3 linked regions of the Xenopus tropicalis genome follow. The protein of the gene in region 1 purifies or fractionates together with the protein of each later gene. This does not show direct contact. Links are inferred from orthologs where the notes say so. Each region holds a gene or a part of one and is shown in the gene's direction. Other genes may lie near its edges. The genes, in order: pold1, mms19 and pold3.

What was found.
Region 2: the proteins of pold1 (region 1) and mms19 purify together in Homo sapiens (affinity purification with western blotting; 3 studies listed by BioGRID and IntAct, with this or other methods). This does not show direct contact. The link is inferred for Xenopus tropicalis from reciprocal best matches to the Homo sapiens genes POLD1 and MMS19.
Region 3: the proteins of pold1 (region 1) and pold3 purify together in Homo sapiens (co-immunoprecipitation; 8 studies listed by BioGRID and IntAct, with this or other methods). This does not show direct contact. The link is inferred for Xenopus tropicalis from reciprocal best matches to the Homo sapiens genes POLD1 and POLD3.

What each region holds. Positions count from the first base shown.
Region 1 is NC_030683.2:117,272,735-117,276,388, reverse strand, and holds part of pold1 (DNA polymerase delta catalytic subunit), read left to right. Parts: intron 1-173; coding exon 174-365; intron 366-1,396; coding exon 1,397-1,485; intron 1,486-2,116; coding exon 2,117-2,233; intron 2,234-2,671; coding exon 2,672-2,785; intron 2,786-3,593; coding exon 3,594-3,654. UniProt on the Homo sapiens protein: As the catalytic component of the trimeric (Pol-delta3 complex) and tetrameric DNA polymerase delta complexes (Pol-delta4 complex), plays a crucial role in high fidelity genome replication, including in lagging strand synthesis, and repair.
Region 2 is NC_030683.2:33,017,014-33,020,667, reverse strand, and holds part of mms19 (MMS19 nucleotide excision repair protein homolog), read left to right. Parts: intron 1-782; coding exon 783-880; intron 881-1,357; coding exon 1,358-1,513; intron 1,514-1,645; coding exon 1,646-1,801; intron 1,802-2,944; coding exon 2,945-3,038; intron 3,039-3,169; coding exon 3,170-3,272; intron 3,273-3,654. UniProt on the Homo sapiens protein: Key component of the cytosolic iron-sulfur protein assembly (CIA) complex, a multiprotein complex that mediates the incorporation of iron-sulfur cluster into apoproteins specifically involved in DNA metabolism and genomic integrity.
Region 3 is NC_030678.2:174,997,576-175,001,329, forward strand, and holds the start of pold3 (DNA polymerase delta subunit 3), read left to right. Parts: upstream 1-1,266; 5' UTR 1,267-1,329; coding exon 1,330-1,386; intron 1,387-3,627; coding exon 3,628-3,683; intron 3,684-3,754. UniProt on the Homo sapiens protein: Accessory component of both the DNA polymerase delta complex and the DNA polymerase zeta complex.

The sequences.
Region 1 (3,654 bases):
GATAGATGAAGCCATAGAGTTTGTCTCGTTAGAGCAGTGTCCTAAAAACACAGAAAACATTTGAAGGCAAATAGAAACCTCCATGTTATTCCATAGTAGAAATGTTATGGCTGCCAAATCACGTATAATAAACTTATAATATAATATCTTGATCCTATCTTGTTTTGTGCCAGAATGGCAACGAGCAGACCCGCAGGCGACTGGCAGTTTACTGCCTGAAGGATGCCTACTTGCCCCTTCGGCTCATGGAGAAACTTATGTGCGTCATCAACTACATGGAAATGGCGCGCGTGACTGGCGTTCCTCTCAGCTACCTGCTGTCTCGCGGCCAGCAGATTAAAGTGGTGTCTCAGCTTCTAAGACAGGTTCGAGCTTTTCATTACACTTTAAGAATCACCCTATGATTGTCTGTAGTTTTCAGTAATGGGTTTGGGGGCTATTAGAACATGTTAAAAATTATCAATTTGTTACAGCAGCATAACCCCCAAAATGAACAATTATCCTGTTATTGTGTCAGTTGCAGGGAGCTGGTTTATGCCACCATATATACATCATTTCTTTTGAAACTCATGTATGCACTTCTGATAATACTTTACTCTTATTAAATCCTGTAACTAGCTCCACCCCTGCTTTTACTAAAGAGGTCACCGGCCGAGCATAAATACGCCAGAGAAAACACACGCACATGATAAAAAGCAATTTACATGCAAAATGTAGCCGGACTGATCAACAATTCGCTACATAATTACGTCACCAGCATACAAGCCACAAATACTTATATGCGCAATACATCTTGCAAGAGTTGGACCGCCATATTGAAAATACGCTGTGTATTTCAGTGAAGTGTATTTCCAAACATGTTGATCCCATAGAGTTCAAGGGTATGGCATTTCCTCGACGTATAGGTGTTTCTGCCTATAGGCAAGCACTGCCGTTCTGTTGTAAATATCTGCTTGCAAAGGCCCTGTAGGAATTGCTATAGTGCATATAACATTATTCTCAACAGGGCTTTATTTTGTGCGCATTAACGTACAAATCCACATTTTTAAAAAACGTCCCATGTGACTTCGCCCTAAGTATACACTGGCTGCAGCTCCAGAAACTGTAAACTCATGTAACTTTGCCGAGCACACTTGCAGTTTACATTATTTTTTTTTGTTTTCTAGATATTGTGAGTTGTCGCCCTGCTACTTTATTGAATTTTAAGCAACAGTGCCACCTGCAGTTCATAACTGGCAAATTGTTGAGGGGATGTGGTAGACCTTGAAAAGGACAATGTGAAGTTTAATTTTTGTATTTTGTGTATTTAGAATGACTTTAGTGTTCCTGCCAATTATCAAACTCTTTTTATTTGCTGATTTTTTTTTCAATTTGATTTCATTTTGGGATACTTTAGGCCATGAAACAAGACCTGGTGATGCCCGTGGTCAAGTCAGAGGGAGGTGAAGATTACACTGGGGCTACAGTCATTGAACCCCTGAAAGGGTAAGAACGTTATACAATGTGTCACTTTCACCAGATGGGGGGGCACAGCCGTATGGATACTGAGTCACATTATATTGGCAGCTTCTTTATTAGCACTGCTTTATAGAGCTGCTTATCAGAGTACACACTGCAGAAATGCTGACATCAAAGAGATACTCCTTATTTAAAAAATTTTTATAACATACTGCATATATTTTTATATGCTGGATAGCTGCGGCTGGGAGACACTTTTTGAGTATTTTGAATTAAAGGGGAACTCCAGATACTGAACCAAAATTAGATAGCCCCACACAGCACACAAACCCCTAATATCCCTATCACTGTAATCTGTTCCTTCAAAAAGTAGGAATAAATACCATTTTTATATGCTGAAATCCAGCTGCAAAACAATTCTTCTCTTTCTGCATCATTTGAAACACTGGTGGAGGAGGGAAAAAAACACTGATGTTACAAATTGTAACAACTTCTCCACAGCTTGCACACAACATGCAGGAACTACATAACCCACAATGCATTGCACTGTGCTGTTCATTTCCTTATTGACATCAGGTGTGCAGGGAATTGTGGGATTTGGATTTTATTTGAGTTTGCCATAGGATCCACTAAATACATGCCTATGATTTAACTGCAGGTATTATGATGTGCCAATTGCCACTCTTGATTTCTCGTCTCTGTATCCATCTATTATGATGGCCCATAATCTCTGCTACACCACTCTGTTGCAGTCTGGATCCATAGATAAATACGGGTAAGTGTTCTGCTGTCCGTTCCACGTATCAGAGATTTAGTGCTTCACAGATACCTGATTGTACACAGCTTAATATAGATGGGCAATGTATATTCAGCATTGTATGCATATGACAATCTTGACTGCATCTGCAGCTTACTGGCCCATGTATGTGGCCACAACCATTTCCTTTTTGATCAATATCTGATTTGGGGTTTGGTCCGATGTTAGTTGGGAAGGCTGGGAAATCCCATGCGGTGACCCTCATGTCATTACTCTTTGCAGACAAGCAGTTGTTAGCTTGTACAGCCAGGATTGCCCAAACACCTTGTAATCTTGCTTAAAAGTTGTTCCTGGAACCCAAAGACTCCAATTTACAGAGTAATAATCCAGAGCTGTTCTTGTTGAATCTCTGCAACACCTCTGTTTTAACCCTTTGTGTCCTCTGTAACTATCCAGCCTCAGTCCTGAAGATTTTATCAAGACCCCAACTGGTGATTGTTTTGTTAAGGCGAGTATAAGGAAAGGACTGCTTCCTGAAATTCTGGAAAACTTGTTATGTGCCCGAAAACGGTGAGTAAATCAAGATTTATGGGTCTTTGGTAGTGAGGTCGATAATTTCCTGAACCTCCCCTTCTCAACTCAGGCCCAACCCAGCCAAAGGTGGTGAGGACACCTAATGTATCAAGCCCTCTTAACTATATGAAGACAATGGGCCTATTTGTCAGCTCATACTTGCCCAACCCACTTGTATCACTAGTATCACTGCACTCACAGCAACAGTGCTTCCTTTTGAGCACACTGCTACTGCCCCTTTAAACACAGTTATACCCCCATTGACATGTGCAGTATATAGGTTAAAGCTTTTCTATCTTGGTAAAAGATAAACTATAAGACATGGCCTTATGCTGATTTTTACTTGGCACTGGCGAGCTGCATCATTTGGATACTTGGATCTATTACCAGACACAGCAGCAAATACATCACTTAGTTTACGCTCATATACAGTGTTTGTCACACTCATTCAACATGCCCCATGCAGTCTGCAAAGGGCAAAGGCTGCATTCGCCCCTTTTTTTTGCACTTACAACTTTCAATACCAAAATTCCAAACTGAATCCTGGATGCAATTTGTGACTGATGTATGTATATGTGTGTGTGTATCTATATAATATACACACATACAGTAGGCATGAATTGCATCCAGGTTTCACTTTGGAATTTGGTATTGAAAGTTGTTCTGACTCATATAGTGAGACACACTATATTATATTGCCTATTTCTTCAGTAACTATCCTGTACATTGGAATTTAGAGATTGCTGGGAGTTGTATCTCAGAACTAGATGGAGACCATTGCTGAATTCACATCTTTATGTTTTAGGGCAAAGGCAGAACTGAAGAAAGAGACTGACCCTTTTAAGCAAAAGGTGTTGGATGGGCGT
Region 2 (3,654 bases), about 84 Mb from region 1:
ATACCATACATCAGCATGATAGTTTTTAGCTTTATAGTTTATTATAACAGTGTGCATTAGACTCAACTGGACAAAACAAGTTTACAACTGTTGTAGCCTCAGTTATGAATTACAGAAAGTCAGTAAAGAGCAAGAAAATGCTCTGTAGCAAAATAATTGACAATTTCCAGCACTGAATGTCTAAACAGATCAGCAGCACTCATGTACCGTTCCTTTGCATAAAAACAATTTTGCTGTTGGATAAATGAGTGTCTGAGTTAAAGGGGTGGTGTAACTTTTAGTATGTTATAGAATGGCCATTTCTACAGTAAGCAACTTTTGCATTGGTCTTTATTTATTATTTGCCGCCTTCTTCTACCTCTTCCTCTAGCCAAAAAACTATTTCTCTGTGAGGCTACAATTTTACTGTTATTGTTACTTTTAATATTGTATTTTTCTATTCATGTCCTCTCTTATTCATGTTCCAGCCTCTCATTCAAACTACTGCCTGGTTGCTAAGGTAATTTGAAACTTAGCAACCAGGTAGCTGCTGAACCGCTAAACTGTAGAGCTGCAGAACAAAAATTTAAATAATTGAAAAAACTACAGATAATAAAAAATAAAGACCAAGTTAAAATTGTCTCAGAATCTCACTCTCTACGTCATACTAAAAGTTAACCCAAAGGTAAATATCCCCTATAATTAAATGTTGAGTGGATGATGAGATGTAAGTATAGCTTCCCTCCCTTTACTTCAGTGCACTAAAGAATAGTACCTCTTTAACTATTTTTTTATCTTTGCAGTATGGCAGCCATTGAGGCTTCAGGAACCCTGGCTAAAGTTCACCCCTCAGTGTTTATCAGTAGGATGCTGCCACAGCTCTGCGCAAACTTGCAAACAGGTAAAGAATTCTTCTTGCTCTTGTTGTTTCTTGAGGCTTGGGCCAGATTAGAACCAAAGTCATTCCCATTGGTTGTGCAATCCAAGTGAACGTCACTGCTTGTGAACACTGGGGTTCTCCTCAGTCACAGTACAGCACTGTAAATAAGTGACAAGATGCACCTTAAGCTATTGTGCAGCTTCCTATTACCTTGGTCCTGTCCGTGACATTTTCTGAGAGCTCCCTAATCCTCCACTGCAGGAACAAGTGACATCTGAGATTCCTTCTTCATGTGACAGTCACCCATGCAGCCTTGACCTTATATCTGCCTTCAATTGTTGTGTTACAAATAAGTATTTTCTACTAAAATGTATTTTTAATAGAAATTAATTATCATGAAAGAGAATGCCTAGACTGCACAACAGGCAGCCATAGATGTCATTTTCTTGTAATCACTGCTTGTTAACAAGTTTAATCCCTTCTGTTTTTTTATTTTAGAACCAATGGATATTAATCTGAATGAAAGCAGAGTGGTCCCTGAGCGTTTTATAAGGCAGCGATGTCTAGAGGCATTAGCCGCTGTATCCACACATCAGAGTATTCTTAAAGAAACTGTTCCTATCCTACTGGACTATATAGGGAGGGTGCACAATGGTATGTGAGTGCACCCAAGCGTTGCAAGAACTTGTACAATCTGATGTATTTCTGCTGCACAGTTACATCTCTTACAGTGCAATGTTCAGGTTTTCATTCTGCTTGAAATATATATCTTATTTGTCTGTCTAGGAGAAGGGGAGACAAATGCAGAAAATGTGGTGTCTATATGTAGGAGCCTTCATCGGGTGGCTGTACAGTGCCAACTAGATTCCGAGGCTCTTCAGTTTTACCATGAAATTGTGTTACCCTCCCTTCTGTCATTAACTGTACAAGCTGCAACACAAGGTACGACATTTAACTGTTTAAAAATCAGAAAAGGTAAATTTTTGTGTTTGCATTAACATGCCATTTTTTCTCCTCTCTACATGTAAAAATGTTTTGCGTACATGTCTCATGTTTTTTTTAATTATTTCACATCTGGTTGCTAGGGTTTAAAGTACCTTAGAAACTAAGCAGTGGTTTGAATGAGACTGGAAGATGAATAGGAGAGGGTCTGAATAGAAAAATAAGTTATAAAAAAAGTAACAATTAAAATTGTAGCCTCACAGATCCAATAGTTTTTTTGGTTTCTGCGGTCAGTGACCCCCGTTTGAAAGTTGGAAAGAGTAAGAAGAAGGGAAATAATTCAGAAACTATAAAAAAAAAACAAATAATGAAGACCAATTGAAAAGTGGCTTAGAATTTGCCATTCTATAACGTACTAAAAGTAAACTTGAAAGGTGAACAAGCCCTTTAAAGAGGAGAAAAGCTATTTGTTAGAATTACATGCTGTGTTGGACATTTTTGAAGATTTTTTTGGCAATTCTGACCATGTGAAAACTGTTCTATCCTCTGGATCACTTTCAGGTCTGAACTTAAATCAGTCAGCTAAGGTAAAAAGTGTATTTCAAGATGTATCACAGTCCAAGCTTATGTAAGATTCATGGAATTTGGAAAAGAAATGTCATCAAGAAAATGCTAGAAGTGAATGATCAATAAGTAGCCACTCAGACTATATGGATTAGATAGGCAGGGACAAGCTGGACTGGTCCTATGTACGGCAGCTTCTAGTTAATTACATAATGTTGCACTAGAGTGGAGCATCTGTGGGATGATTTCTACAAATTCTGCTTCTGTTGCTGCCTACAGAAAACGTTTACATCCGTTAAGGCAAGCTATATAGCAGCTTCCACTTCCACATAGGGGAATGTCCTGTGTGCATAATAAATAGTTTACTGCATATTCTAGTAGCCTGCACCTACTGAACCTGTATCAATAAGGGATACTCACTCTCTGTGATCATAACCTGTATCCATAAGGGACACAACTGTGTAGCATGAGTTAAATATTGTCTATATATTTTGGTAATTAAAAACTTAAATATAGTTTTTATTGTACCTTCAGGTTGTTTGTATCTCGTATCCTTATCATATCTTTTGCTTTTTTCAGACAGCGGAACTTCCTGCAATGTTTTGCTGAGGGATGATGTTCTCACTGCAATGGTGCCAGTAATTACTGCAGCCTGCACCCATCTCACACCCGAGTGAGTATAGTGGATGCTGATATTATACATAAAGAACCATTTCTATATCCCCAGTCTTAGTTTTATTGCCTTTCTGAGGGCCATGGATTAAAGCCCCCAATTCTTGTCTGCTATTTATTTTCCTTTGTCAGGTTAGCCTCAAAAAGCGTCTCCCAGGTTGTAGCCTTATTTCTTGATGGGGATGTTTCACTTTTTTCTGAAAACAATTTACCAAGCAACTTCCAACCATTCCAGGTAGGCTGGATACATTTAATTGTGTATTTTAACGTTAAAGGGATTCTAAACTTCAAAATAACGCAAATGTAATTTAAATGATCTGTTAAGTATTCATTAAGTGGACTTAAGTTATTATAAGGGTATTTGTTAATGGTAATGGCCATTGTTTCTGTTGCTTTCTGCTATTTACTGCACTGCTGGTTCTGATTACATGCACCATTGAAACCATGTTGCAGTAGTCGTCTTAGTTTTTCCACTGTTCTTAATGTAAAGATATGGTTGTTGCTAGCTGCAGTGCCGCAGTCTCTGATATAAAAGTGGGCAGTATATAGTGTCTGTAATACAGTGATCCATTTGAGTAGTGACAGAGACAGTGATGGAGAGTTGAGCAGAAACAAAT
Region 3 (3,754 bases), on another chromosome or scaffold:
CCAGGTCCCGAGCATTCTGGATAACGGGTCCCATACCTGTACTATGGATACCAAGTGCTGCTGTAGGCTATAGGGATAAAATTGTTCCAGTTCACATACATTAAAGGAACACTGACATGGGAAAACATCACCCCCAGCAGCCGATCAGCAGAACAATGGGAAGGGAGCAAGATAGCAGCTCCCAGTAGGTATCAGAATAGCACTCAATAGTAAGAAATCCAAGTCCGGCTTGGGACTCCTCCAGTTACATGGGAGTAGGAGAAACAATAGGTTAGCTGAAAGCAGTTCTAATGAGTAGCGCTGGCTGAAAGCTCAGACTCAGGCACACTTTACTGCTGCGCTGCAAGTTGGAGTGATATCCCCCCCCTCACCCCCAGCAGCCAATCAGCAGAACAATGGGAAGGGAGCAAGATAGCAGCTCCCAGTAGGTATCAGAATAGCACTCAATAGTAAGAAATCCAAGTCCGGCTTGGGACTCCTCCAGTTACATGGGAGTAGGAGAAACAATAGGTTAGCTGAAAGCAGTTCTAATGAGTAGCGCTGGCTGAAAGCTCAGACTCAGGCACACTTTACTGCTGCGCTGCAAGTTGGAGTGATATCCCCCCCCCTCACCCCCAGCAGCCAATCAGCAGAACAATGGGAAGGGAGCAAGATAGCAGCTCCCAGTAGGTATCAGAATAGCACTCAATAGTAAGAAATCCAAGTCCGGCTTGGGACTCCTCCAGTTACATGGGAGTAGGAGAAACAATAGGTTAGCTGAAAGCAGTTCTAATGTGTAGCGCTGGCTGAAAGCTCAGACTCAGGCACAAGGCACTGAGATGGCGCCTACACACCAATATTACAGCTACAAATACATTTGTTGGTACAAGAATAGAAGGTTAAATGGCAGAGGGAATTGTTTCTGTGTGACAGTGTCATTTAGAGACAAACAGCCCCATAAATATGAGGGCAGGGTCCCTTTAAACCCCAGGTTTGCCTGTTCAAGCTGTGACTCCATTTCCTACAGATTCCCCCTTGTATCTGCCTGTAAGGGTAAAGTCTGCCTGCCCTATAGAGAGAGCCTGCAGAGGTCCTGCCTCCAGCACATATAGAGTTAACCTTCCCGGCGTGCCTTGCTCTAGTACTGGCACAGGGAAGGGGCGTGTTTATTTCTGTTCCACGTGTGCGCAGCTCGCTTCTCATTGGGCAGCGTCTTTAGCCGCGTCTTCTCTCCGCCAATGATGTTGGTGCTTTTGCGCCTGCGCTCCCCGCTCCCGCTGGCCTCGGTTGTCAGGCGCCAAGTATAGAGAGTAGCTGCGGGTTCCCTGGGGCCGGACCCGGGCGGGAGCTATGGACGAACTGTACCTGGAGAATATCGACGAGCTGGTGGCTGATCAGAATAAGATCGTGAGTTCCGAGCAACTGGGGCTCTCCGGCTCTTCTGAATGGAACCTGCCGTCCCTTCTTATAATAATACCCGGGCCGCTTCTCCCTGGCATGGGCAATTTGGTGGTTTATTCCCCCTTACCCAGATGGGCACCCTGGGGTCATCCCCCCCCACCCACCCAGATGTGCACCCTGGGGTCATCCCCCCCCCACCCACCCAGATGTGCACCCTGGGGTCATCCCCCCCCCACCCACCCAGATGTGCACCCTGGGGTCATCCCCCCCCCACCCACCCAGATGTGCACCCTGGGGTCATCCCCCCCCCCACCCCACCCAGATGGGCACCCTGGGGTCATCCCCCCCCCTACCCAGATGGGCACCCTGGGGTCATCCCCCCCCCCCCGGGCCCCCCTACCCAGATGGGCACCCTGGGGTCATCCCCCCCCTACCCAGATGGGCACCCTGGGGTCACCCCCCCTACCCAGATGGGCACCCTGGGGTCACCCCCCCCTACCCAGATAGGCACCCTGGGGTCATCCCCCCCTACCCAGATGGGCACCCTGGGGTCATCCCCCCCTACCCAGATGGGCACCCTGGGGTCACCCCCCCCCTACCCAGATAGGCACCCTGGGTCATCCCCCCCCCCTACCCAGATGGGCACCCTGGGGTCATCCCCCCCCCCCTACCCAGATGGGGACCCTGGGGTCACCCCTACCCAGATAGGCACCCTGGGGTCATCCCCCCCCTACCCAGATGGGCACCCTGGGGTCATCCCCCCCCCCTACCCAGATGGGGACCCTGGGGTCACCCCCCCCTACCCAGATAGGCACCCTGGGGTCATCCCCCCCCCACCCAGATAGGCACCCTGGGGTCATCCCCCCCCCACCCAGATAGGCACCCTGGGGTCATCCCCCCCCACCCAGATAGGCACCCAGGGGTCATCCCCCCCCCCCACCACCCATATAGGCACCCTGGGGTCATCCCCTACCCAGATGGGCACCCTGGGGTCATCCCCCCCTTACCCAGATGGGGACCCTGGGGTCACCCCCCCCCCTACCCAGATGGGGACCCTGGGGTCACCCCCCCCCTACCCAGATGGGGACCCTGGGGTCATCCCCCCCTACCCAGATGGGGACCCTGGGGTCATCCCCCCCCTTACCCAGATGGGCACCCTGGGGTCACCCCCCCCCTACCCAGATGGGGACCCTGGGGTCATCCCCCCCTTACCCAGATGGGGACCCTGGGGTCATCCCCCCCCTTACCCAGATGGGCACCCTGGGGTCATCCCCCCCTTACCCAGATGGGGACCCTGGGGTCATCCCCCCCTACCCAGATGGGGACCCTGGGGTCATCCCCCCCTACCCAGATGGGGACCCTGGGGTCATCCCCCCCTTACCCAGATGGGGACCCTGGGGTCACCCCCCCCCTACCCAGATGGCACCCTGGGGTCATCCCCCCCCACCCAGATAGGCACCCTGGGGTCATCCCCCCCCCCCCACCCAGATAGGCACCCTGGGGTCATCCCCCCCCCCCCACCCAGATAGGCACCCTGGGGTCATCCCCCCCCCACCCAGATAGGCACCCTGGGGTCATCCCCCCCCCCCCCACCCAGATGGGCACCCTGGGGTCATCCCCCCCCCCCACCCAGATGGGCACCCTGGGGTCATCCCCCCCCCCACCCAGATGGGCACCCTGGGGTCACCCCCCCCCTACCCAGATGGGCACCCTGGGGTCACCCCCCCTACCCAGATGGGCACCCTGGGGTCACCCCCCCTACCCAGATGGGCACCCTGGGGTCACCCCCCCCCTACCCAGATGGGCACCCTGGGGTCACCCCCTTACCCAGATGGGGACCCTGGGGTCATCCCCCCCTTACCCAGATGGGGACCCTGGGGTCATCCCCCCCTTACCCAGATGGGGACCCTGGGGTCATCCCCCCCCTACCCAGATGGGGACCCTGGGGTCATCCCCCCCCCCACCCAGATGGGAACGATGGGGTCTTCCCATAATTCCTTGCATGACCCTTATAATGTTGCATTTGGAACAGGGCCCCAATCTGGTTTTTGGCCAGTTTTGGTCACCTCTGGTTCAGGGGTTGGGTCAGTACAAATGCAGTGAGACCCAGGCAGTCCCTGTTGTGTTACTGAGCCAATGGGCTGCCGGTATTTCAGCCTCATTATCCCTCTAGCCCCGCCCATCTGTATCGCTATGTATCATACTGACTTGCCCCGACTGACGCCATTCTCTCTGCTTGCGTTACAGGTGACGTACAAATGGCTGAGCCACACGCTGGGCGTCCATGTTAACCTGGCGAAACAGTGAGTACTGCCCCCCCCCCCTTGCTTCCCATTGGGGCCTCACTGCGAATATCCCCCCATTTACAAAAATG